Alligator mississippiensis: one gene and its partners. The protein of the gene in region 1 purifies or fractionates together with the protein of each later gene. This does not show direct contact. Links are inferred from orthologs where the notes say so. Each region holds a gene or a part of one and is shown in the gene's direction. Other genes may lie near its edges. The genes, in order: SRPK3, FTSJ3 and EBNA1BP2.

Region 1 (7,655 bases):
GGAAGAATCCAGGAATGAACCAGTAGACCAATAGGGAGCTGTGGGGGGAAGAGGTCTTGGACTGAATCAATGGGAATGTTCAGGAGATCCAGGAATGAACCAATGGAATGTGGGGAGAAGTTCTAGACTGAACTAATGGGGAGAAGTGGGGGATTTTCAGGATTGAACCAATGGGATGTTGCGCGGGGGGGGGGGCCTGGACTGAGTCAAGGGAGTTCCCAGGGGAGGGAAGTCTGGGGTGTTGCTCAGGCCCCTCTCCCCCCCAGATGCACCGACACTGGAAGATGGTGAGGAGGGGGGTATCCACCTCTGGCACCTAGAGAAGCCCCCAGAGGAGCTGGAGGGGCCTGGGCAGGTGGCACGACATGGGAGTCGGGAACGGGAGGGGGCCACGGCTATCCCTGAGATCTACCTCACCCGCCTACTCTCTACCAAGGTGAGGGATCCCTCCCCCATGGGGACTTAGCACCCCCACAAAACTCCTCTACCCTCCCAGGAACCTCTAGACTCCCCTTGCAGCCAAAATGAAGCTTCAACCCCTCAGGAACTTCCAGACCCCCACTTCACCTCAAAACCTGCCATGTCCCCTCAAAGATCTGCTTCATCAATCTGCCCTCTTGCAAGGTTAGGGACACCCTAGGGGACCCCTGTATCTCCAACCACCCCTCCACCTCCCAGAACCCTCAGACCCGCCTTGCATCCCCTAAGAGCCCCCAAACCCCCACATCCCAAAATCAGCCCTTCACCCCCCCAGCAACCTCCCAAATTCCCTTGCACTCCTCTAACAACCCCACACCCATAAACCAACTCTCTAACCCCCAGACTTCTGCTGCACCCCAAATCCCACCATAACCACTCCCAAGATCTACACCAAGTCTGCTCTTCTCCAAGATGAGGGCCCCCCCCCCCAAACTGCTCCTCTCCCCCCCAGGGCTCCCCAGATTCCCCTGTATCCCAAAACCCACCATAGCCACCCTAAATCTTAGTTGTGGGCTCTCTACTAAAGTGGGGGATCCTCAGGGGACCCCCTGCACCCCAGAGCCTACCACAGCTACCCCTAAGGTCTAGCTCATCCTCCTGCTCTTGGGTTCTCTGTGAGGAGAGTGGGCCTGGAGAGTGAGCAAGGGGGGCTGGGAGCTCAGGTACCTGTGCTCTCTAGGCAGGGGCTGGATCAGAGAACAGGGTCTCAGATGCCTAGGTTCTCTGGATGGGGCCTGGGTGAGGGGAAAGGATCCCAGGTGCCTAGGTTCTCTGGGAGGGGAATTGGGGCTGCCAGGTGAGCTGGGAGCCTGGATTCTCTGGGAGGGTGCTGGGAGCCTGGACACCTGCATTTTCTGGGGGCTGGGAGCCAGGCACCTTGGTTCTCTCCCTGCACGCTGCTGCCCTCCACAGAATGGGATCCATGGCGGGAAGGAGGGTTGTTTCAGGAGGCAGAGAGGTGCTGACTGCCCCCACCCACAGGGCATGCTTCACCCATTTGTGGAGGGGGCACTGCGGGTTATCCTGCCAGTTGGGTGCCCCCCACCCCTGCCTGTCAAGTTCCTCTTTGACCTGCTGGATGAGCTGGCAGCACGGCATGGCCTGGCTGAGCCTGACACCCTGCGCAGCTGGAAGAACAACAGGTGGGTGGGATGGATCTGGGGGATGCATGGGGCAGATCTTGCTGGGGCATGGGGGCTCTGAGGAGGGCAGGAGTGGGGAGTATCAGTGGGAATGGGGGATCCTAGAAAGGCAGAACTGGGAGTGGGTGAGAGGGTATGGGGCAGGTCCTGGTCACTCCCCAGAGCCTGAAAGAGCATGTTGAGGGGGTATTAGGGGTCATGGCTGGTTTTGAGGGTGCAGAACTGGGGGAGCAGGAGGGTATGGAAGGTCCTGGTCTCCAGACCCTGGAGAGCATGTGGGGAGGGGGCTTCAGGGGGCATGGGGGCCCTGAGCAGAGCAGAACTGGGGCAGGGGGCGCACTTTGGGACCCGGGGGTAGATCTGGAGGAGATGGCATGGGGGAGGCTTGTGGGGGCAAAATAGGTAGTAGGTCATGTGTGGGTCTGGCCACGCTCTGAAGCATGTGGGAGAACATGGGGGGGGCTAGAAGTGGGGGAGTGGAGAGCTTTTAGGGACATGGGGACTCTGTCCTGAGGAGGTAAATGTGGAGAGCCTGGAAGATGGGGGGGGGGCAGGCAGGAGGTATGGGGGGACCCCAGGGGGCAGAAGTGGGAAGGTGGGAGAATGGGGGGTGGCCACACTCTACAGCCTAGGCAGCTGGGAAATGAGGTGGGGGCAAGGGGAGGGGATCCAGAAGCTGGGACTGGTGGGGAGCACACAGGGGCAGGGTCACAAGGGGTGGGGTCTGACTACACTCCTGACCCCTTCCCTGCCTCTGACCCTGTTACAGGCAGCAGGGGTCCGCATGTGGGGTGGGGCCTGGCCATGGCCCCACCCCATCCCTGCCCCTCCAGCCTGACATAGGCTCTTGCTACTTGTGGCTATGCCCCCTCTTGACTCCCGGCCACCCAGCAGCCTACTGGGGGCTGTTCAGAGGGTGTGGCCTGCTCTGACCTTACCCCCTGCAGTCTGCTGCTGCGGTTCTGGGTGCGGGTCGTACGTGACCCACGGATGCTGCTGGACGTGCGTGTCCCGCCAAGCGTCGATGCGAGTCTCGGGGTCGTGGCCCAGACGCTTATGGATGCCTGCGCTGCTCCCGCCCAGCACCAAGTGGGACGGGTGAGGACCCAGGCGTCTGGGGCCACCCTCCCTCCCCAACCCGCCCAAGGACCCAGTGGTGCTTCCAGCCTGTCCAAGAGGCCCAGGAATCCAGGGCCAATCTCCACAGCGACCCAGGCATTCAGGACCTGGTCCTTCCAAAGGAAGCCAGGTGTCCGGGATGCTTCCAACCTCTCCACCAGATCCCGGCGATTGCGGCCACTTCCATCCCCACTATTTGCCCCACCCCACTCAGGGACCCAGGTGTCCAGGATGTGACACCCCCCTCCTCCCCCAAAGGGGCCCAGACATCCGAGACTGACCCCTGCCACAAAGGAGGGACCCAGGCATCCAGGACATGCCTCCAATTCCCTCCCCTACTGTCTGGCCCTGGCTCCTGCCCCACAGCGCCCCCCACCCCACAACAGGGCCCTAGGTGTCCAGACCTGATCTCTGTCATATAGGAGAAACCCGGACGTCTGGGACATGCCTCCCAGTCACCCAGGTATCCTTCCCCCCTTTACACCCTCCCCCTCCCAGGACTCCCCTGTGAACAAGCTGCTCTATGCCCGTGAGATTCCACGGTATCGAGAGCTCGTGGACAGGTGAGTGCCCCCAGAGACCTGGGTCCCCTGTGAAGATGCCTGAGTGTGGTGGGGGGCCTGAGGGCCAGGATTGCCTGGGTTCCACCCCAGCTGTAAAAGAGCAGGGAGTTTGGGAGGGGAGACTGGAGCCAGGGCTTTCTGTGGGAAGGGGGGCTGGGAGCCCAGACACCTGGGTTCTCTTACGCCATCCCCACCAGGTACTATGCCGAGGTTCGCCAGGCTCCACCAGTCACGTACCAGGAGATGAACGCAGCACTGACCAAAATGTCTCAAGTATGGATGCCCCAGCATCCTCCTAAACCCTGTATTACTGCTCCTTGGGTTCTCTCAACACCCTTCCTCCCCACACCCTCCCCAAAATACCCCCACCCCTGGAACCCTCAAACCCCCTGGCATCTCCCTACCCTGCCATTGGTCCCTGGGGGCCACCAACCTCCCAGGCACCCTCTGACCCTAGCTGGGGCTTCTGCCCCAAAGCGCCCCCCACCCAGCACAGCACGGATGCCTGGGTTCTCTGTCTGCCAAGGGAGGGGTCTGGGGGGGGGGGGTGTTGTGGGCGACTCCCGAACGTCTGAGCTCCATTCCTTCCTCCCACATTGCAGCTGTCGGTGGATCTGGACTGCTCGGGGGCGCTGCTAGAGCTGTACGAGTACGTGCGCCTGTGCCACGACCAGGTACCCGGGTGCCTGGGTTCCAGGAGGGAGTTTGGGAGCCCGGGGCCTGGACTGTTGGGTTCTCCATTCAAACTAGGAGTCCTGGAAGCTTGGGCTCTGCGGCAGGAAAAGGGAGAGCCCGGACGCCTGGGTTCCTTGGAGCGGTGGAGCAGGGGGGTGGGAGCCCGGGTGCCTGGGGTCTCCGGGAGGAGAGCGGGGCCCTGATCCCTGCCTCTGTCCCTCCACAGCTGGTGGCAGCGCTGGAGGCGGAGCCGGCGGGGCAGAAGCAGCAGCTCGGGGCGCGGCTGCAGCAGGCGGCCGCGCTGCTGGACAACAAGGTCACGGACCTATGAGCCCGCCCCTAGTGCCTGATGTTACCGGGCAGCCCCTCCCCCTCGGGGGTGTCTAACCCACACTAACCTGGGGCGGCGAGCCGAGCCCCCCCAGCCTGGGATGGGGGCGAGTTATATGACGTAGAATAAAGAATACTCCTGATTGGACCCAGCGGCTGCGACTCGTCCATTAGGGAAAGGTGGGGGGTATCATGGAAGTGGGGGGCGGGGCTGAAGGGGAGATTGCCCTTGATTATGGGGGTTCCCACGCGTAATATGGGGAGGGCTGTTTCCTCCTCTCTCCCTCCACCCGAAACTTGGGCGGAGGTGTTTTATGAGGGACTAGCCCCGCCAGCCCGCGTTCGCCATGCCCATCACCCCTAACCCCGCCCTCGTTTCAGTACCCCTCCTCCCCGCCTATCCCGGGCCGGTCTTCGCTGTTTCCCTCCCCATGGTGGGGGCAGCGCATGCGCAGACTCTCCGGACGGCCCCAGCAGAACGTTGGGGGGGGTACCATGAGCAGCAAGAAGGGTAAGCGCGGGGGAGAGGGAAGCAGAAGGTGGGGCAGGGGGGTCTCCCCAGCTTGGGACACCCCCCCCCAAACCTGCCCCTGCCCCCCCCAGGTGCAGGCAGTGCCCAGGGCAAGAAGGGGAAGAAGCGGCACAAGAAGGAAAAAGGGGCAAAGGGGGCAGCGCTCCCAGGGTGAGTGGGGCGGGGGGCTGCAGGTCAGGAGTGAGGGGCACAATGGGGAAAGGCAGCTGGCTCGGGAGTGGGGGAGAGGTTGCATATAACAGGGGGACCCCTGTACCCCCTTCTAGCCCGGTGTGGGGGGGTAGCCCCTTCAGCTTTTGAGGGGTTCCTGGGTCCCCTCCCCCTCACACACATTCCTGAGCTGCCTTCTGCAGCAGCTGCCCCAGCCCAGGGTTATTTTTAACCCCTGACGCAGGTGGGGGGTGAGGTGATGGCTATATCGGGATGTGGGCATCTCAGCATGCACTGCGACTCTGCTTCTGCCCAGGTGTGGTGGGCGGAAGACCCCCATTATACCCGACCTACCCCAGACTCAACTCCATGCTGGGGTTCTGTGTTCTATTTGGCTGTGTCCCCCAGATTCAGCTGCATTGAGAGATCCCTGTTATACCCAGTTGTTCCTGACCCCACACAGCTGTAGCGAGGGGTCCTTGTTATACCCTGGTCTGCTCAGTCTTATCTGGGTCAAGAGACTCCTATTATACCCACCCATGTCCCCCATGCCAGACAACTGCCTCCAGGTCTCCCTGTTATATAGTTGGCCATACCCCCATGATCAGCTGCATGGAGAGACCCCTGTTAAGCCCAGCTGTGGCCCCCTACAGACTCCACTGCATCCTGGTCCCTGTTGTATACAGCAATGCTCAGACTCGGCTGCATTGAGAAACCCCTGTTATACTCACCTAGACAAGCTCGAGACTCAACTTCACTGAAAGGTCCCTGTTATATCCAGTCCAGTCACACCCCAGACTCAGCAGCATCCAGGTCTCTATTATACTTGGTTGCGCTGGCCCCCCAGACTCAGCTGCATGGACAGACCCCTCCCTGATACTCAGTGCATATGGGTCCCTGTTATATCTAGCTCTGCTCCCCACCCCTGGGTGCCCATGTTAGAGTCTGGTCTCTCACCCCTTCCCTCCTCCCCAGCACACAGGAGCCAGCACCGAAGCCGCGTGGCACCACTCCACCCTGGGCCCCACCCCTCCCATGCCTGGTGGGGGCAGGGCCTCTGGGCTCAGATGATGAGGAACAGGAGGACCCCGCAGACTACTGCAGAGGTGGAGGGGTGGGGGGGGGTATCACTGTGCCCAGAGGGGGCCTGAGGTGGGAAGTGCCCAGTTGGGAGGAGAAATATGGGGCAGGGAGGAACCACTGTGATGGTGAGGATATGGGGTGGGCTGTACCATGTTTATAAGGGAGAGGAAAAGCTGGGAGATAACAGTGTGTGTGTGTGGGGGAGGGGGGAGAGTTGGCACCAAGTGTGCTGTACCATGGGGGAATGTGGCAGGGGGGCTGGGAGGTACCACTATGGTTGTGGGAGGGGGAAAATTGGGGTATTGGGATGTTCCACTGTGATTGTGTGGGGGATGGGTGGAGTACAGGGATCTGGGTTTTCCATTTCCCACAGAAAAATGGAGAAAACCACAGATTTCCTCTTTTCATCAGAGAAAATATGGATTTCTCCTTTTAGCAGAGGAACTGGTGGATTCCCTGCTTTTGCGAACAGCTCTGCAGACTGGCTGAGCTCCAGCCTGCAAAAGCTGTTTGCAAACAGGGTGGGAAACCCCCAGCCCTGCCCAGAGGGGGAGGGGGAAGGGCGGGGCCTGAGGCGCTCAGCCTGCCAGGGCTCTGCTCTGCTCAGTTCAGTCTCACTTTTCTAGAGCCTGTGTGGTAAGTGGGTCTTGCAAGGGATTGGGGGCCCCTCTGGCAGGACAGGGGTGGGGAGGGGGTTGCAGGTCATGGCTGGGGGCCCTGGCGGGGCTGGAGGGAGCCAGGAGCCAGGCCCGCCCACACCCAAGCAGGCAGAGCAGTGGGAGAGCTGGCTCCATGCTGCTTTTGCTGCAGCTGCCTGCTGTTGGGGGCAGGGAGCTGCAGACTTGGTTCCCTGGCCTCATAGCCCTGGCATTTGTGGGCCCCTCCCGCAGGGCTGGCGGGGCAAGAAGCACGAGTAAGGTGGGGGGGCTGTTGTGGGGGAAGTGAGGGGCACTGGTAGTATTGGGGGGCTTTGGGGGCAGTGAGGAGCACCAGCAGGGCTGGGGGGGGTGCTGCAGGGGGCTTTGGGGGATTACGGTAATGGATTTTGGGGTTTTTGTCAGAGAATATGCAATTTTTTTTATAAGAGAAGACCAGGGTCTCTCATATAACTGGGCTGTAGAGAGCAGAGAAAGACGGGAGATACCAATATTCCTATGGGGTAGACTGGGCTGTGCCACTTCAAGCAGTGGGGGGGTTATAGCATAGGAATTGGGGTGGAGGGTTTGGAGGGTGCTGTACTATGAGGATGAAGGGGGGCATGGCACAGGACAGGTGGATGCAGCCACATGCAGTGGCTGGCAGTTAGGGGGGGGTGTGGAATACAGCCCAGATTGTACTACTACTCAGCTGGGGAGGGGTGTCAGTCATCCCCCCCCACCCCATGCCCCCCAGGCGGGTACTACCCGGTGCAGATAGGGGACCTGTTCCATGGTCGCTACCATGTGGTGCGCAAGCTGGGCTGGGGCCACTTCTCCACCGTCTGGCTCTGCTGGGATATCCGGTGAGCAGGGCTGGGGGTGGAGCCTAGAGAATGGGTGGGGCTATGGGGGCCTGGGTGGTGGGCGAAGTGAACTCTAGGCT
Region 2 (7,166 bases), on another chromosome or scaffold:
CGGCTGAGGAGGGTCCATACCTACAGAGCACTGCTGCCTGGCTTAGTCATATCCCACAATGCAACAAAACTCTGTGTTGGGTCTCAGTTCACCAGGGATTTCACTTTCAATATTATCAAGTGGGAGACAATGCAGAGAGCCTGGTGGGAGGCAGTTCCCCAGTATCTGGAAAGGGAAAGTCAAAGAAACCCATACCTTTGGCATTCAGCTCATTCCTTTGCGCTTGCAGACGGCGGAGATTCTGGCTCTTCTCATTCACAATCAGCTTTGGAGAGGAAGGACAAGGTATAAGCCTTTACCAGCCCAAAAGAGTCAGCCCTGCTCAGGTGCCTCCACTAGAGCGCAGCAGCTCAGATGATACCGATACCTCCATTGAAGCTGCCAGCAGGAGCCTGTGTGTGACCAGTCTGGACACAAATAGCTCCCCCACAGGAAGAGCAAGTTAAAGGGGTCCTTCTCAGGGTGGATTTGATTTAAATCAAATTGATTTAAATCACTGAGCAGGAAGCCTTGTTTTAATTATTTTCTACAAAAAGTGCCTTCTTGTTTGATGTAGGCTTAATACATATTACAACTCAGAGACAGATGTAGGTTTCATTTTTAGAAGGTACACACTATAAATGTTAAAGCAGTGAATTATTTTGACATTTTTTCAGAAAACTGAATTATGATTTCAAAGCTAATTGAAGCAAATGCCTGTGAAGTCATTGGGAGGTGAACTAATCTCCAATTCACTAGATCATGGATATTTGGGGGATATTTTTGCCACGCTGTATTAGGAAGACATCAAATGAGGGCTGCAGCCATGTTATTAGCTTGGGGCTTTCTTCACTTTCTTCGAGATTTCTTCTCATCTTTGATTCCTTCTCTTTTACAGCCTGACAAGCTTGCTGTCACGATAGGTCTTCCCTGCTACCATACCATTACCTCAATAGATCTCAAATCAGTGGAGAAGCTATACTCCGAAACTTACTCCTCAAGACTTCTGGAATATTCTGCTCAAAATGTTTCTCTTTTGTTTCTATTGCCCCTTTCTCCTTGCATTCATTTCTAGACTCCTCCTCCTTGCCCAGATCTACTCCACCCCCAACAATCGTCTATTCATTTTACTACTTGAAAATTTGCACTTTTAGGGAGAGGTAAGGGCTTGGTTCTGTATACACAAACTTGCAGAGAAACAATAGGGACATGGGTAGGTAATCAGGTCTGTTTCCTCTCATTTCTATATACTGCTGTTAACAAGGATGTTCTCTCATGATCAAAGGCCAAGACAGCAAGCCTTACAAAGAGAGGCGGAGGGACATGGGACTCTACAGCCTGGAGAAAGAAGGCTCAGGGGGAACTTGGCAGCAACCTGTAAGTATATAAGGGGTGTGCACCAGGATCTAGAAGAACAATGGAAACATTGATTTTTACCCACCCTAGGTCCTTCTCAAGGGGAGGCTCCTCAGGTCCAGCACAACGGCTCTTGCACTCTCTGCCCAGCTCTTGCCAGAGCCTTGTCCTGGAAACCAGCCTGGCACAACAGCTGGGAAGGACTCGCCCTAACTTGCAGGCCACAGCCCTTCATGTGCAAGCCACTGGCTTTGGAGGTTTTGGTAGGTCACATCACTGGGGCAGGGACACCTCTGCCAAACAATTCATGGGCACTTGGCTAAGGCCCTTGGATTTGGCCACTCACTACCCTCCCCACCAGCCTGAGGTAGCACTGCTTTGCACTGAACTAGACTACCTTCCTGGACAGCAGGTCAGCTCACTTCAAAGGGTTATTGCCAAGTGGAAACTCCTCCCCCAGGGAGGCGCTCCTGGTGCTGCCTGCTGAGGTGCTGAGGCTGCCTGCTGCCAGGATAGGATAGGAGTGGTCCTGAGCCTCCAGCCCCATTGGCAGGGGGGGAAAGGGGCAGGAGCTGGGCTAGTTGGAAGTGCTATACAAAAAGAGCAGAGGGACAGCAGGGTCCCTGCTGCAGAAAACACGAACTAGTGAAAACATGACCCCTGCAGCTCACCTGCAGCTCCTCGATCTTCGACAGGTAGTACTGGCGGAGGCCTGTCCCTCCTTTGCCTTCATCCATCTCCATCTGCCAGGAAAACATGACAGAACATGCATGTCAGCCCAGGAAAGCACCTCAAACAGCCTGACAGAAAAAGGCCAGACTCACAGCAGGAAGTGGAGAGGTTTGTTCCAAAAAGAGCTGTGCCTGGAGGTGGCAGGTCCCACCACACAGTAACACACCCATGGGACAGATACAGTCTCCGAAACCCTCCCCCAACTGTTCCTCTGCTCCATGTATGCCCAGGTGCCCCCTTTCAAACAGGACACCCCACCTATGTCCAAGTGAGGACCCAATGGCCCTGCCAGCATGTCCATGGGACAGGGGAGAGAGCAGAGCCCGCTAATGCCAGGGTGCTCTCTACCTCCCCCAGGGGACTGTTTTGTCCCTGGCACAGCAGCACAGGGGGAAAGCAAGGCAGGAAAAGTAGCCCCCAGGCCTGGCATCGAACTGGGAAGGGGTTTGGAGGAAGGTGGAAGATGAGGAAAATGGGAAAAGCAGGACGAAGGGAGCATTAGGGGCTTGGGGAAAGGGAGCTTCAGGGCTCCACAGAGTGACAGCTGGAGCAGGCTGCCAGGGCCCCATTTCCTGGCGGGGGCAATTGACAGTCTCAGTGCCAAGGGGATGGAGTTTGCTGCCACAAAGGGGCTACACGCCCTCGCAGGGACATGTCCCACGGTTAAAATATAGTGCTGAACAAAGCAGGCTTGAAGGTGTCATATGCCACAGTGCACCCTAGATCAGTGGTTCTCAACCTTGTTAGACTCCAGGCACCCCTGGGAAAACACCAGCTTGCTTTTCACCCATTTTTGGTAACAGGCAAACAACTGAGCAATTTTTCTACTGGGAAAGAGCTCAGAAAGAGCGCAAATGGGAGGACACGGTTTCCTATGGGAAATCTTTGGGTTTATCTTGTCAATTCTCTTCACACACCTAACAGTGCCTCGTTGCACCCCGACCGGAGCCCAAGGCCCCCCAGGGTGGCGCAGCACCCGGCTGACAATCACTGCCATACATCAGGGCTGTGCAACCCCTGGCCCACAGAGTCACGCCACGCGGCCCGCTGGGCTCCCCACTGCGTGGTGGTGGCGCTGGCAGTGTTAAATGCAGCTCCCCAGCCGCCAAATTCACAGACCCGCGGGCAAGCTGGCCCCGCACACTGGATGGGGCATGTGCATCTGGGTGGGGAGGTGACGGGGTTGAGCACTGCTGCCCTGGGAGGACGTGTGGCTGCTCGGCCCCACTGACCGGGAAGGGAAGGCAGGGCCGGGTCCTACGGGGGGTGGGGGGGGGCCTGAATTGTGCCACGAATGTCACGTCTGTCAGGCCCGCGCGTGCGCCGTGACTGTCCCGTCTGCAGGCCGGGGCCGCGCCGAGCGCTCCGCGAGTGTAACACGCTTGTCGGGCCCGAGCGCGCTACAAACGTGCCGGCTGTCGGGGCCCGAGCGCTAAAAGCGGGACGTCTTCCCGGGAGCCCCGCGGGCCTGGCACGGGGCGGGGGCCGCGCGGTGCTGCCCCTCGCACCGACCGCCCTGACTCAGCACCGCCCGGCCCGGCCCCGCAGCCGCCCGCTCCTCCCCGGCCTCGGGGGCAGGACGCGGCAGCCCCCGCCGTGTTGCGGTGCGGCTCGGCCCTGCGCGGCCTCACCTGCTCAGGCCCGTCCACCGCCATCTTCTCGGCCGGCATTGAAGCAGCTCACTGGAGCGGCAATGAAGGCCCGAGCGGTTGCCCACACCAGAAATGGCCACGGTCCTCACTTCCCTTGCCGCGGTGCGCACGCGCAAAGGGCGAAACATCCGCTTACGCCACTTCCTGTCCGCGAGTGGGCGGGCGCCTGAAAGAAAACACTGAGTGATGCGTTCTCCGGGCGCACATGCGCGGTGGGACAGCTTTGTTGTTGATCGCTCGTCCTGTGCCCGCCGTTCCTTGTCAGCCGCCACCTTGGTAGGGTCTGCTGTAAGGCCTAGACGGAAAGGCAGTCTCCCACTGAGAACCTCAGCCCGCTTTCTGCACACAGGGTGTGCTCCCACTCCGACTTCCCCGCGCGAGGTCGAAGCCGGGCAGCGGCTGGGCGCCACTCTCAAGCTGACGGAGGGAGAAGTTTGTACCGGAAGCGGAAGTGCATCTGATCGCCGGCCTGCCGGCGGAAGCGCAGGGCGCGCACGTGGGAGCTGGGGCTGCTGTCTGGGTGCTGGTGAGTGCGATTGGGACTGGTCAGTCGGGCTCTGAACTTCCCAGTCTCCTGCAGGGTCTGGACTGCCCCAGCCCCGCTGCCTTGAGGCCTGCCCGCCTGGGGTATGGTGCGGTTGGGTGGACTGACCTAGCTGGGGTCGGTGGTCCTGATGCAAGAGGAGAATCCGGGAGGAAGCGGGGAGTGAAGCCGCCTCCCCGCCTTTGAGGTTGTCTGGCAGCTCCCCTGCCATGTCTCTCCTTGGGGTGTGGGGGAAGAGTTGAGGGGCAGGGCGTGGCCGGGGAGCAGCTGGGGGCTGGGGCAGATTATAAGTATAGGGGTAAGGAGAGGCGTTCATAAGGGAAAGGTTTAGTGCTAGAGATGCCATGCCCACATCCTCCGGCTCCAGCAGGCCCGGTTGGCTCTGTCCTGAGGTTTGCTCTGCTGCTCTGAGCTCGGCTTGCTTTCCTTTCTGTTCTGGCCAGTCGGCATCTAGTTCTGACTGTCTGGGGTGTTTGGATAGGGGCTGTGGCCTTGAGGTCCTTTCATGGTTGCCCTGGGTGGCAAGGTTAGCACTATTAGATGCATAAATGTGATTTGCAGGGTAAACCCAGGCATTTTAAGCAGGAACCCATGAGTTAAAACCATTCTTTTCCATTGAAGATGTTCCCAGTTCTTTGCAACAGAATAATTGTTCCAGTATTTCTCTGTAGTAAAAAAAAAAAAAAAAAAAGTGAACACTGAGAGATGGCAATTTTTGAGGGGGCCTTTAGTTTAATGAGAGGTTCCTTCTGTCTAATGACTGCAATACAGGCAGCAGATGGCAAATGAAAGAAGCACCAAGTGGGGTTGGAGGTTTTTTTTACTTTAGCAGCTGGGATGATGTGGTGCCAGCTGTCTTCAGCTGCTAGTGCCATAGGGGACTGGCAGACTCTGCATGGGGTTTCCCTTGGAGTTGGTGGTAAAACGTGAAAGAGACCTGTGTGTATCCTGTTAATGAGTGGTATGATGGTATTCTGTAGTCCTGCTATAAGATTCAGTGCACCTGAAGGTTTCTCATGGTGTGGTTGGGGGTAAGTTTAGCTTCAGGGGCAGGATGTGGGGCTGTGGGTAGAGTGATGTGATTATTCCCTCTCTAATATGTAGTTCAGGCCTGTGCTCCCTTCCCCCCAGCACAGATGAGGTGTTGCAGTGATTGTCCTGCTTCTGAGGTCTTTGGGGCACTCAAAGTCAATATGGGGCTATTTTACCTGTCTTCAGCTGCTGCCTTTCCTTTCTCTGCAGAAGACATTTCCATTGCTTCCTGGCACTGGTCACAGGGATCACCCTGTATCCCTGAGGTGAGCCCCGGCACAAACTCATTCACCCACCAACATGGGCAAGAAAGGCAAAGTTGGGAAGAGCCGACGGGACAAGTTCTACCATCTGGCAAAGGAAACTGGTGAGTGGGGATAGGAAGCTGGCCCTGTCTGTCTGTGGAGTTGTGCTGGTGGATCTCCCTTGGCATGACTGCCCACCAGGACCTCTGCGTTTCCTTGGTGGCAGGCCAGGTCAGGCCATGGCCCCCTGCCTGCCTGCCCAAGTCACTGTTACTTCCATGTTGGCCATCTTTTTGTACTCCTTGTGCCTGCAGTGCGGTGGCTGCTTCAGAGTAAGCAATGGGCACTGATTGACCTCTCCTACCCCTTGTTGCTGCAGAGTGTCTGATTGGGATATCCCAGGCTCTTGGGAGGGCTCTGATTTTTTTTTTTTTTTTCCCCCCCCCACCCTTTCTTCCTTTAGGGTTTCGCTCCCGATCCTCTTTCAAGCTGATTCAGCTCAACCGGAAGTTCCAGTTCCTGCAGAAAGCCCGGGCACTGGTGGACTTGTGTGCAGCCCCTGGGGGATGGTGAGTGAGAGGGCCCCCCTGTTTGCCACTGGATTGTGAGATACAGGAGTGTCCTGGCTAGCTGGTGGGAACTACAGCCAGCTTGCTCACATCCAAGCCCCAGGCTGATCAGGGTCCTGGAAAAACCCAGAGCCTGGCCCACATGGTTCTTGGTCCAAACTATCTGTGCTCAGGTTGATTTGCAGCCCTGACTGCCTGAGAATCTGGGCAACCAAGTCATGAGCAGAAATTGAGTGGCTCATTGTTCTCTAGGCAGGAACAAGCCTTGTCCATTCCCCTGACTTGCAAACAGCTTTGTGCGTTTGCAGCCTGCTGGCAGGTTCAAAGTACCGATGGACATGGGTTGTAGCCTACAGTTAGGGGACTTCCCTGGCAAGTCTTAGCTCAGTACTGCCTCTGGCTCAGACTACAAGGGAGCTGGAGATGTCATGCCCAGGGTGCCTCAGCAAGCTGCTTGGAGAGGTCAGCTCCAAGAGCAGTTAGTCGCTGGCAAGCTGTGGGCTTTTTGGAATCCTAGCCTGTACTGGGAGGCACTGGTCCAGGTGGCCCCTGTGCACTCTGCAGTAATGCCTGTTCGCACAGTGTTCCCAAAGGTGGAGGCCTTGTCTCCCTGTGGCTCTGCACATGTGCAGCCCCTCTGGAACAACTTGTCTTCAGCCAAAGTAGTATGGTTTGGAGTGGCATCACCTTGCAGTGAACAGCGGTTCCCTGCTGGGATCTGTTCTCTGTCATGGACATTCAGTTTGTCCTATGCCAGCCAGTGAAGGGTGACACTTGGGAGCCCCTCTGGGCCTTATGCCCTTCTTAGCCACTGGGAATGTAGCTCCATTTCCTTTTCTGAGAGGTGTGTGCTCAGACAGGCCCTCCTGGGTGGGGGTCACAGGGTGTGTGCTGGGTGCTGAAGTTAATTACATGCAGCTCATCTTCTTTGAGATGGAGGGTGAGAAGAGCCTTCATGCAGCAGGTTATGGTACCAAGTGAGGCTTTCTGACCCTTTCTGCTCTCCACAGGCTGCAAGTGGCCTCCAAATTTATGCCAGTTTCCAGCCTCATTATCG
Region 3 (7,740 bases), on another chromosome or scaffold:
CACCTTCCTCTTATCCTCAACTGTAGGAATCCATGCAGTTCCAACTATAGACTCACAGAAAGTTAAGGTTGGAAGAGACCTTGGGAGGTCACATCTAGTCCAACCCCCTGCTCAAAGCAGGACCAGCCCCAACTACATCATCCCAGCCAAGGCTTTGTCTAGCCTGGTTTTAAAAACCTCCAAGGATGGAGCTTCCACCACCTCTCTGGGTAGCCTGTTCCAGTGCTTTACTACCCTCCTAGTGAGAAAATTCTTCCTAATATCTAACCTAAACCTCCCTTGCTGTAACTTTATACTATTGCTCTTTGTTCTATCATCTGACACCACTGAAAACAATCCAGCTCTATCCTCTTTCAAACCCCCTTCAGGTAGTTGAAGGCTCCTATTAAATCCCCCCTCAGTCCTCTCTTCTCTAACTTAAATAAGCCCAGTTCCCTCAGTCTTTCTTCATAAGTCATGTCGCTCAACCTCCTCACCATTTTTGTTGCCCTCCACTGGACTCTCTTCAATTTGTCCACATCCTTTTTGTAGTGGGGTGCCCAAAAATGAACACAGTACCCCAGATATGGCCTCACCACTGCTGAATAGAAGGGAATAATCACTTCCCGGGCCCTGCTGGCAACATATCTACCAATGCAACCCAGGATGATGTTAGCCTTCTTGGCAACGAGGGCACACTGCTGGGTCATATTCAGTTTACTGTCCACTGTAACCCCCAGGTCCTTTTCTACAGAGCTGCTGCCCAGCCAGTCAGTCCCCAGCCTGTACCGGTGCCTATGATTGTTCTGTCCTAAGTGCAGGACTTTGTATTTGTCCTTGTTGAACCTCATGAGATTTCTTTTGGCCCAATCCTCCAATTTGTCTAGGTCACTCTGAAACCTAGCCCTACCCTTCAGCGTATCTACTACTCCCCCCAGCTTGGTGTCATCTGCAAACTTGCTGAGGGTGCACTCTATTCCATCTTCCAGGTTGTTGATGAAGACATGGAACAAAACCAGCCCTAGGACTGACCCCTGGGGCACTCCACTTGATACAGCTGCCAACTAGACATTGAGCCAAGACAGATTTCTTAAAAGGTGTCTGAATTTCAGCAGTGCCATGGGTGCCAGTTGCACAAAGGGAAACATAGAGAAGTTACCTTGAAAGAGAATGACCATCACTGACACTGCATGCCACTTTGGACTAGTCACTTCCCCCTATGTAAATGCTGGCCAGGCTTTCAACAGAACTATGATTAGGTGACATTTGTAGAGTGGCTGGAAGACCTGCTGAGCTTTTATGTGGAACACACGTGAAACAAAGGAGCTTACAGATGGAACAGCTGTGGCCTGTTTAAGACCTGTAACCTCAGTTTCTTACCTACCCGTATTTCTCGGATCTCCCTATAACCTTCTTTATCTTCAATCTTCTCAAACAGCAGAACAACTCCTGACCCAGCTGAGCATGCAAAGCCTTTGGAATAAACTGCAATGGCAGAGATACGAGGCAGTGAAACCTGCTGTGGGACATCACCTTCAAGGACCATTTCATTGGCAAGATCTGGGGAACTGCCAGTAACAAATTCAAGGAGACTAGGAAAAAAAAAAGAAAGAAAATTATAGTTCAGCAGCAACCAGAGAAGCACATAATTACCAGCAGGGCAGTGAAGGCAAGCACTGATGCTAAAGGTTTTTCCAGTTAACATCTATATAGATCACTTCCTGCTGCAAAAGATCTTTACTCATGGGCTGGACCCTGTCAGTAATTATCACAAAAACATACCTCTCAGAGTCTTTGGGCAGCTCATCCTTTTCGATTTCACTGGGAGATTTTTTACACTCGATATTTGTCTCCCAGCGCAGATCTCCAGATTCAAAAAGAAAGAGTTTGCCCATATCACTGCCAACTATAACCCTTTCCTCAGAGAGCCAGGCATGGGACAAGTAGTTTTGTGGCTCTCCCCTTTGAAAGTTAGTCTGTTTCAAGGCTCCTTCTATATATCTGAAAAGTTTAAAAATGCCATTCCCAGTGATACAAATCTGAGTGTTATCTTGGGGATTGAAGCTCACCTGGAAAGCAGGAGGGAGAGGAATTACTTTTCAGTAACTATGCTTATACCAATACTTTACAAACAAGCAAAAATGCATGATCTCTATCCTAAAAACTTTATTATCTTATAAAAATCAAGAATGACAAAAAAATGTCAGAGACTTTAGGGCAATTCTCATATTATAAAAACCTAAGTCTGTCTGTCTGCCTGTCTGTCTGTAAGGCTTTTTTTGTGCTCTGATTGGCTGACAGAAACAGCCAAACAGGGTGCTCCAAGCGTGGGGGAGCACCGCCACGATTCTGAAGATGCGCCGAGGACCAGCCAGAGGTCCTCGCTCCCCCCTTCCCCCCTCCCACTTGGGGTCCTACCCCACCCCTATTTCCTCCCCCTGCCGCTCCAGGTCCGCCTGGCCTGCAGCAACCTGCCTCCCCACTGCCGCCTCGTCCCTGCTGGCTGTTCTGGGGGGCATCCAGACTGGGCAGCAGGGGGGGTGGGCACCGCTGTGATCCCCTCTTTCACCCGCAGGCAGGGAGGGTGGGGGGAAGCTGTTCCCTGCTGCCAGACTTCTGCAGCAGCAGCGCAAACAGGCCTGCACAGCCCAGGCCATGCAGCCAATTGCTGCTTGCCCTCTTGGCAGCGCATGCACAGTTGGCTAAACACATTATGGACAGAGAGACAGAGCCTTTTATTATATTGGAATTTTGCCCCCAGTGGTCCTAGACAGCAACTGATCATCATCCTTTCTACAACAACCCTTTGTGAAGATTGCTATCAAATCTCTCTTCTGTTTTCCCTTTCCAGAAATAAATAATTCCTGTTCTTCCAAACTTGTCTTGTAAATCATGTTTTCTATACCTCTAATCATTTTTGTTACTCTCCTCTGGACTCTTCCCTATTTATTTACATCTTTCTTGAAGTATAGTGCCCAAAATGTGATATAATACACCAGGTGTATGAATGAATCTGCAGTGGAAGAAGTCAGTTTCCCACTTATCCCTTTTTTAATGCTTATATTTTTTCCTAATCAATTTTGCTCATAATTGTTTTCAGATTTGAGAAATCAGCAATTTTAAAGCAGCAAGTCTCTCTCTCCTGTGTGTGTGTGTGTGTGTGTGTGTGTAAATGCTCATGCATTTTAGACAAGCTTTGAAACAAAGTGATGAGGAAGCCTGTCTAAAAAAAACCTCTCTCGACCATGTACTTGGGCCAGTAAAAAACCCCCACCCAAATATCTTTGCCTTTCAAATAAATGTTAATGCTTTTCTTATTTTTTTTAATGTTAGCATTTCTTTCAGGAGAGAAAATGCTGCCTCGCTTCAATTACCGCAGGGAAATTATCTTAGTATGCATCCTTTTCTGGAAAATATTGTTGCTCTCCTCCCACGTCTTGGGAAGGGAGTTTCCGTTACAAGATCATGCTTGATTGCAACAGGTGTTCTCTCAGAGCGATTTGTCTCCGCCCCGGCCTCCCCTGCACCCTACCTGGTACACGGGGTTGTTCTGGGTGTCAGCTCTGACAATTGCCATCAGTCTCTGCTTCTCCCACATCCAGTAGGCAAGGTTGGATTCAGGGGGTCCTGTCTGAGCAACTAGATACTTAGAATCAGGAGAAAATGCCAGGCTGAGAAATTGCTCAACAGGGAAATCAAATGAATTCAATACTTTCCGCTTTTTGCATGGGACAGATGACAATTCATAGATAGTGATAGTAGGCTTCTCTTGTACCATCTCAGAGATGGCCAGGTAGCGCCGGTTTGGACTTATGGCCAGTGCCAACATCCCCTGACTTTTTTCAGACCCTAGAAAGCAGAAAGGGAACGAGAGCGACTGTTAAAAGCCCGAAACAGGTCGGGGGGCAGAGAATCGTAAAAAGAAAAGCAGAGGTCTCTTGTGACCGAGACCCTCTGCCACCAGCCTCCGAGGCGTTTCCCCTGCCCCCCCGGCAGCCAGACGTCCCGGGGTCACGACCCTTCTCGAACACGCACGTCCTGCAGCGCAAGCCCCGCCCCCCGCGGGAACCCGCCGCGAGGGAGGGCCGCGCCCAGGCCGCCGCCGAGACGGGCACCCGCGCCGGGGCCCGGCCAGCCCGCTCGGCGGCGCACGCAACGCCCTCCGCCCATCGCAGGCCCGGGCCGGGGCCGGGGTCGGGGTCGGGGCTGGGCCAGCCACAGCCGCCCCGCCCCGGGCTGGCGGGGGGCGCTTCCCTCAGAGCCGCCGACAGCGTCAGACCGGGGGCGGGGGGGGCGGTAGTCAGCGGCTGCCGCAGACTCAGCCGCGGTCCCTGCAGCCCGGAGCAGCCTCCCGGCGTGTACCGCGTGCTCCGCCCGGGCGGCCCCGGCAGGCCCGGCTCTGCGCCACGGCCCGGCGGCGAGCGCCGCGTGCCTCCCTGCCGGCCGGGGCGGGGCGGGGCGGGGCGGGCTGGTACCGGGGATGAGCTTCTGCCAGTGCTGCTCCACGTGGTACTGCACGCAGCCGCTGCCCGCGGGGTAGATGATGATCTGCTCGTCGAAGAAGCAGACGTTGCTCGCCACGCCGGGCCGCAGCCCGAACACGTGCAGCGGCTGCGCCACGATCGCCGACATCGCGCCCGGCCAGCCCCGGCCTCTGCCGCGCCGCGCCGGTCGTCATGGAGACGGGGCAACGGAAGCGCGGTTGCAGCGTGACCCGGAAGGGAAACAGCGCGCGGGGTCAGGCCGGAAGTGGCGGCGGCGGCACGAGGTGAGCGCGGCGGCGGCCTAAACTCCGGGGTTCCCGTCGTGTTCGAGCCTTGCGCCCCGGGGAAGCCGCTGCGGCCTTGGCGGCTCTTCCCCGCGGGGGGGCCCTGCACACCCTCTGCGCGCGGTGCTCCAGCTCCTCGCGGACCCGCCTCGGTCTTCGGGCCAGGAGGGCAGTTTGTCGGCCTCTCCCCCGCCCCGCCCCTGGGGCCAGGGTGGGCTTGCTGTGAGAAGCGGAGCGAGCCAGAGCACGTCCCCCGTGTCTTCTCCCCAGGGCCATGGCAGACTTCGAGGATCAGTCCGGATCGGAGTCGGAGGAATCCCTCGTCACCGACAGAGAGGTAAGCGCCTCGTGCTGAGCAGTGCGTGCAGGATTGCTCCCTGCCGCCCCAGAAAGGAAGTGGGCAAGGGGTTCCCCAGGCTGAGTACCCCAGAGACTAGGAAGTCAAGAGTGGTGGTAACGCTCTGGGACACCACGACTCGCTCGTGCCCTAGTCGTTCTCAGCTGGGGCCTGTGGTGTGGCCCTGGACAGAGGGACCGAGCATGCCGCGTTGCAGCTTGCAATACGCTAGCACCTGGTGTTTTTGCCTCGGCTGTTAGTGTGGTGTGTGGCCTCCCCACGTCTTGTCTTTGCTCTGGCACCCCGCTCGGAGAGGCGTGGACTTGTATGGATGAGTGGACTCAGCACTGCTGACTGAAGGGTCCTTTGGTCTGTCCAGATTGTCAGACCCTAGGCAAGGGACACAGCCCACCTTCCTTTTAAGATGCTGGGGGACCTGACCACTCTTCTTCCCTACAGCTCCAGGAAGCATTTTCCAGGGGTGCCCTGAAACCTGGGCTGAACCTTGTGCTTGAAGGGAAAAAGAAGGCCCTGAACAACGTGGTGAGTACCATGCCTTGCAGCTCTTGGTGTGAGGCGTTTGCCTGGGGAGGTTGGGCTCTTGCCTGTGGTTACACAAAGGAGTCAGAGATTGTAAATGAGAAGCCCTTAAGGTTTAGTTCATTAGGAGCCTCAGAGATGTTTCTGGGAGCCACTGCAGAGCTGTGTAGTGACAAAGGCTGGTGTTTGTGGTAGAGGTGGTGCTGCTGGCCCCATAGCCCTCTTCTCCTGCAAATGGACGTGATTAGCTGTGTTAGTCTGAAATTGAGCTGTGAATCGACTGTGTTCACTGGCGTTGCGCGGAGGTGCTCATTGACTTTAGCTGCTTGTGTAGAGCGGTGAGATCTGCTTTCAGTATTTCATGGCCTGCGAGGACCTTTGCAAATTGTTAGAGCTCTGCTTATAACAGGTTCTGTAGAGGTTCTGTTTTCTGGATTGGATTAGATGTTAAGAGGTTAAGTCCCACAGCTTGGCTCTGGTCTGCAGAGTACCGGGTTTGTTTCAGATTTTGCAGAAAATGTTTTATTGTTGCCATAGGACTAACCTGCTGATTTTAAGTTGTTATGTGACACTTGTTATTGTTTAGCTGGGGACTGAATATTGGATGATGAGCTTTCATTAGGAGCCCATCCTAATTACTGTGTGAATGTTGTTACTCCATAATACAGTTGCCTAGGAAGCACTGCTCTCATTCGCACCAGTGTAAGATGTGCTAGAATGCTTTCTGGAGGAAGCCTGTGGGATGTGCTAAATCAGTGTGGCGCGCACACACTGTCTGCACTTAGTTTCTAGTATCTTACCAGAAGAGAAACTCCACAACAAGCTAAATCAGGGGTTGGAAACCTTGTGTCACTGGGGCCACTGCCTGCAACCCAGCCTTTCCTGTGGGACCACACCCATACACCCCCAGGTGATCAGCAGATGCTACCAAGGGAAGAAATAGAAAAAGGCAGATGCCAGTGGAGCCACTCTGCTCCAAAATGTACACTCAGAAGGTGAGAGAAACAAGAGTTGCAAGACAAACTTAGTCTATTTTATCAGATCAGTTGAAAAGAGTTGCTGGCTACTTGGTATACAGTCCTGCCTCAGTTCCCCCTTGTGCTTTCCACAGCTGTCACAGAATCATGTGCTTGCCTTTTTATGGCCATTATATTCTTAACTAGCCAATTGCCCATCAAGAATGATGGGGGTGGGGGCTGGCATGCCACCTAACGCCCATGCTGCTGCTGTTCTGCCTCATGCAGGAAGTGGGATGGGGAGCCAAGGCCAGCACTGCTGGCCCTGGCTCCCCCACCCTCTGTCCGGTCCTTGGCGCAGCTTTGGAATCAGGTGGCCTCCCCCACATTTGGAGCACTCTGATTGGCTGACAGAAACAGCTAATCAGAGCGCAAACAAAGCGTTATGGACAGACAGACGGACAGACTTGGGCTTTTATAATATTAGAAAGGTAATATCTGAGTTCCCCAAAACAGTATTGGGCATGTTGCGCGTTAACTTCTTTCATCAATCTAAAGTTGCCTTGATGTTATTAGATTCCTTCCTTGCTCTTTCTTTTCTCACATGTCAAAAACAATCACCCTGTCCCTCAGTTAAATCACATGTGAACTGTATTTGGTTCCTGTCTCTGTTTCTCTGCTGGGTTCTCAACCTGTATCTGGACTCTTCAGTTTAACAGCAACCTCTCTTGAGCTTAGTTTATTAAAACAATATGCCCGTTCAAATTTCAACCTAAATCTGGCCCCTCTGATTATGTCTCTCTTGTTGTAGTTTTCCTGCTTTCTTAATCTAAGTTTAACAAGACTCTCTTTGTCTGTCTCGATGCTCATCACCTGAGGAAGCAGCCAACATTATGCACTGAGGGGCTGAGCCACGTCCTCAGAAGGCAGGGCCACATATGACAAAAGCATTTAGATTTGCTATCTGAGGAAGGAGGTGTCTGTTTTGTGTCTTGCTGTTAACAGAACCTTGTTCTCTTTTCCAGGATGGCTTGAAGCAGTGCCTGTCTGAATTCATGCGGCACCTCGAGTGGGTGGAAAGGCTAGATGTGACTCTGGCTCAGGCATCAAACTTCACAAGTCCCACCTTGAGTCAAACACCTGACAAAGCTTCTCCTGAC

What was found.
Region 2: the proteins of SRPK3 (region 1) and FTSJ3 purify together in Homo sapiens (affinity purification with mass spectrometry; 3 studies listed by BioGRID and IntAct, with this or other methods). This does not show direct contact. The link is inferred for Alligator mississippiensis from reciprocal best matches to the Homo sapiens genes SRPK3 and FTSJ3.
Region 3: the proteins of SRPK3 (region 1) and EBNA1BP2 purify together in Homo sapiens (affinity purification with mass spectrometry; 3 studies listed by BioGRID and IntAct, with this or other methods). This does not show direct contact. The link is inferred for Alligator mississippiensis from reciprocal best matches to the Homo sapiens genes SRPK3 and EBNA1BP2.

What each region holds. Positions count from the first base shown.
Region 1 is NC_081831.1:28,600,298-28,607,952, forward strand, and holds the start of SRPK3 (SRSF protein kinase 3), read left to right. Parts: upstream 1-4,606; 5' UTR 4,607-4,656; coding exon 4,657-4,820; intron 4,821-4,912; coding exon 4,913-4,991; intron 4,992-5,966; coding exon of another isoform or gene 5,967-5,973; coding exon 5,974-6,097; intron 6,098-7,466; coding exon 7,467-7,575; intron 7,576-7,655. Other genes in the region: PLXNB3 (plexin-B3), read left to right, coding at 267-436, 1,462-1,622, 2,570-2,720, 3,240-3,304, 3,502-3,577, 3,907-3,978, 4,206-4,310. UniProt on the Homo sapiens protein: Serine/arginine-rich protein-specific kinase which specifically phosphorylates its substrates at serine residues located in regions rich in arginine/serine dipeptides, known as RS domains.
Region 2 is NC_081827.1:170,096,011-170,103,176, reverse strand, and holds the start of FTSJ3 (pre-rRNA 2'-O-ribose RNA methyltransferase FTSJ3), read left to right. Parts: upstream 1-4,156; 5' UTR 4,157-4,245; intron 4,246-5,505; 5' UTR 5,506-5,595; coding exon 5,596-5,662; intron 5,663-6,003; coding exon 6,004-6,109; intron 6,110-7,119; coding exon 7,120-7,166. Other genes in the region: PSMC5 (26S proteasome regulatory subunit 8), read right to left, coding at 196-265, 2,007-2,078, 3,699-3,737.
Region 3 is NC_081828.1:241,453-249,192, reverse strand, and holds the start of EBNA1BP2 (probable rRNA-processing protein EBP2), read left to right. Parts: upstream 1-4,655; coding exon 4,656-4,747; intron 4,748-5,017; coding exon 5,018-5,084; intron 5,085-5,543; coding exon 5,544-5,627; intron 5,628-7,605; coding exon 7,606-7,740. Other genes in the region: CFAP57 (cilia- and flagella-associated protein 57), read right to left, coding at 1,364-1,571, 1,762-2,048, 3,512-3,828, 4,342-4,657. UniProt on the Homo sapiens protein: Required for the processing of the 27S pre-rRNA.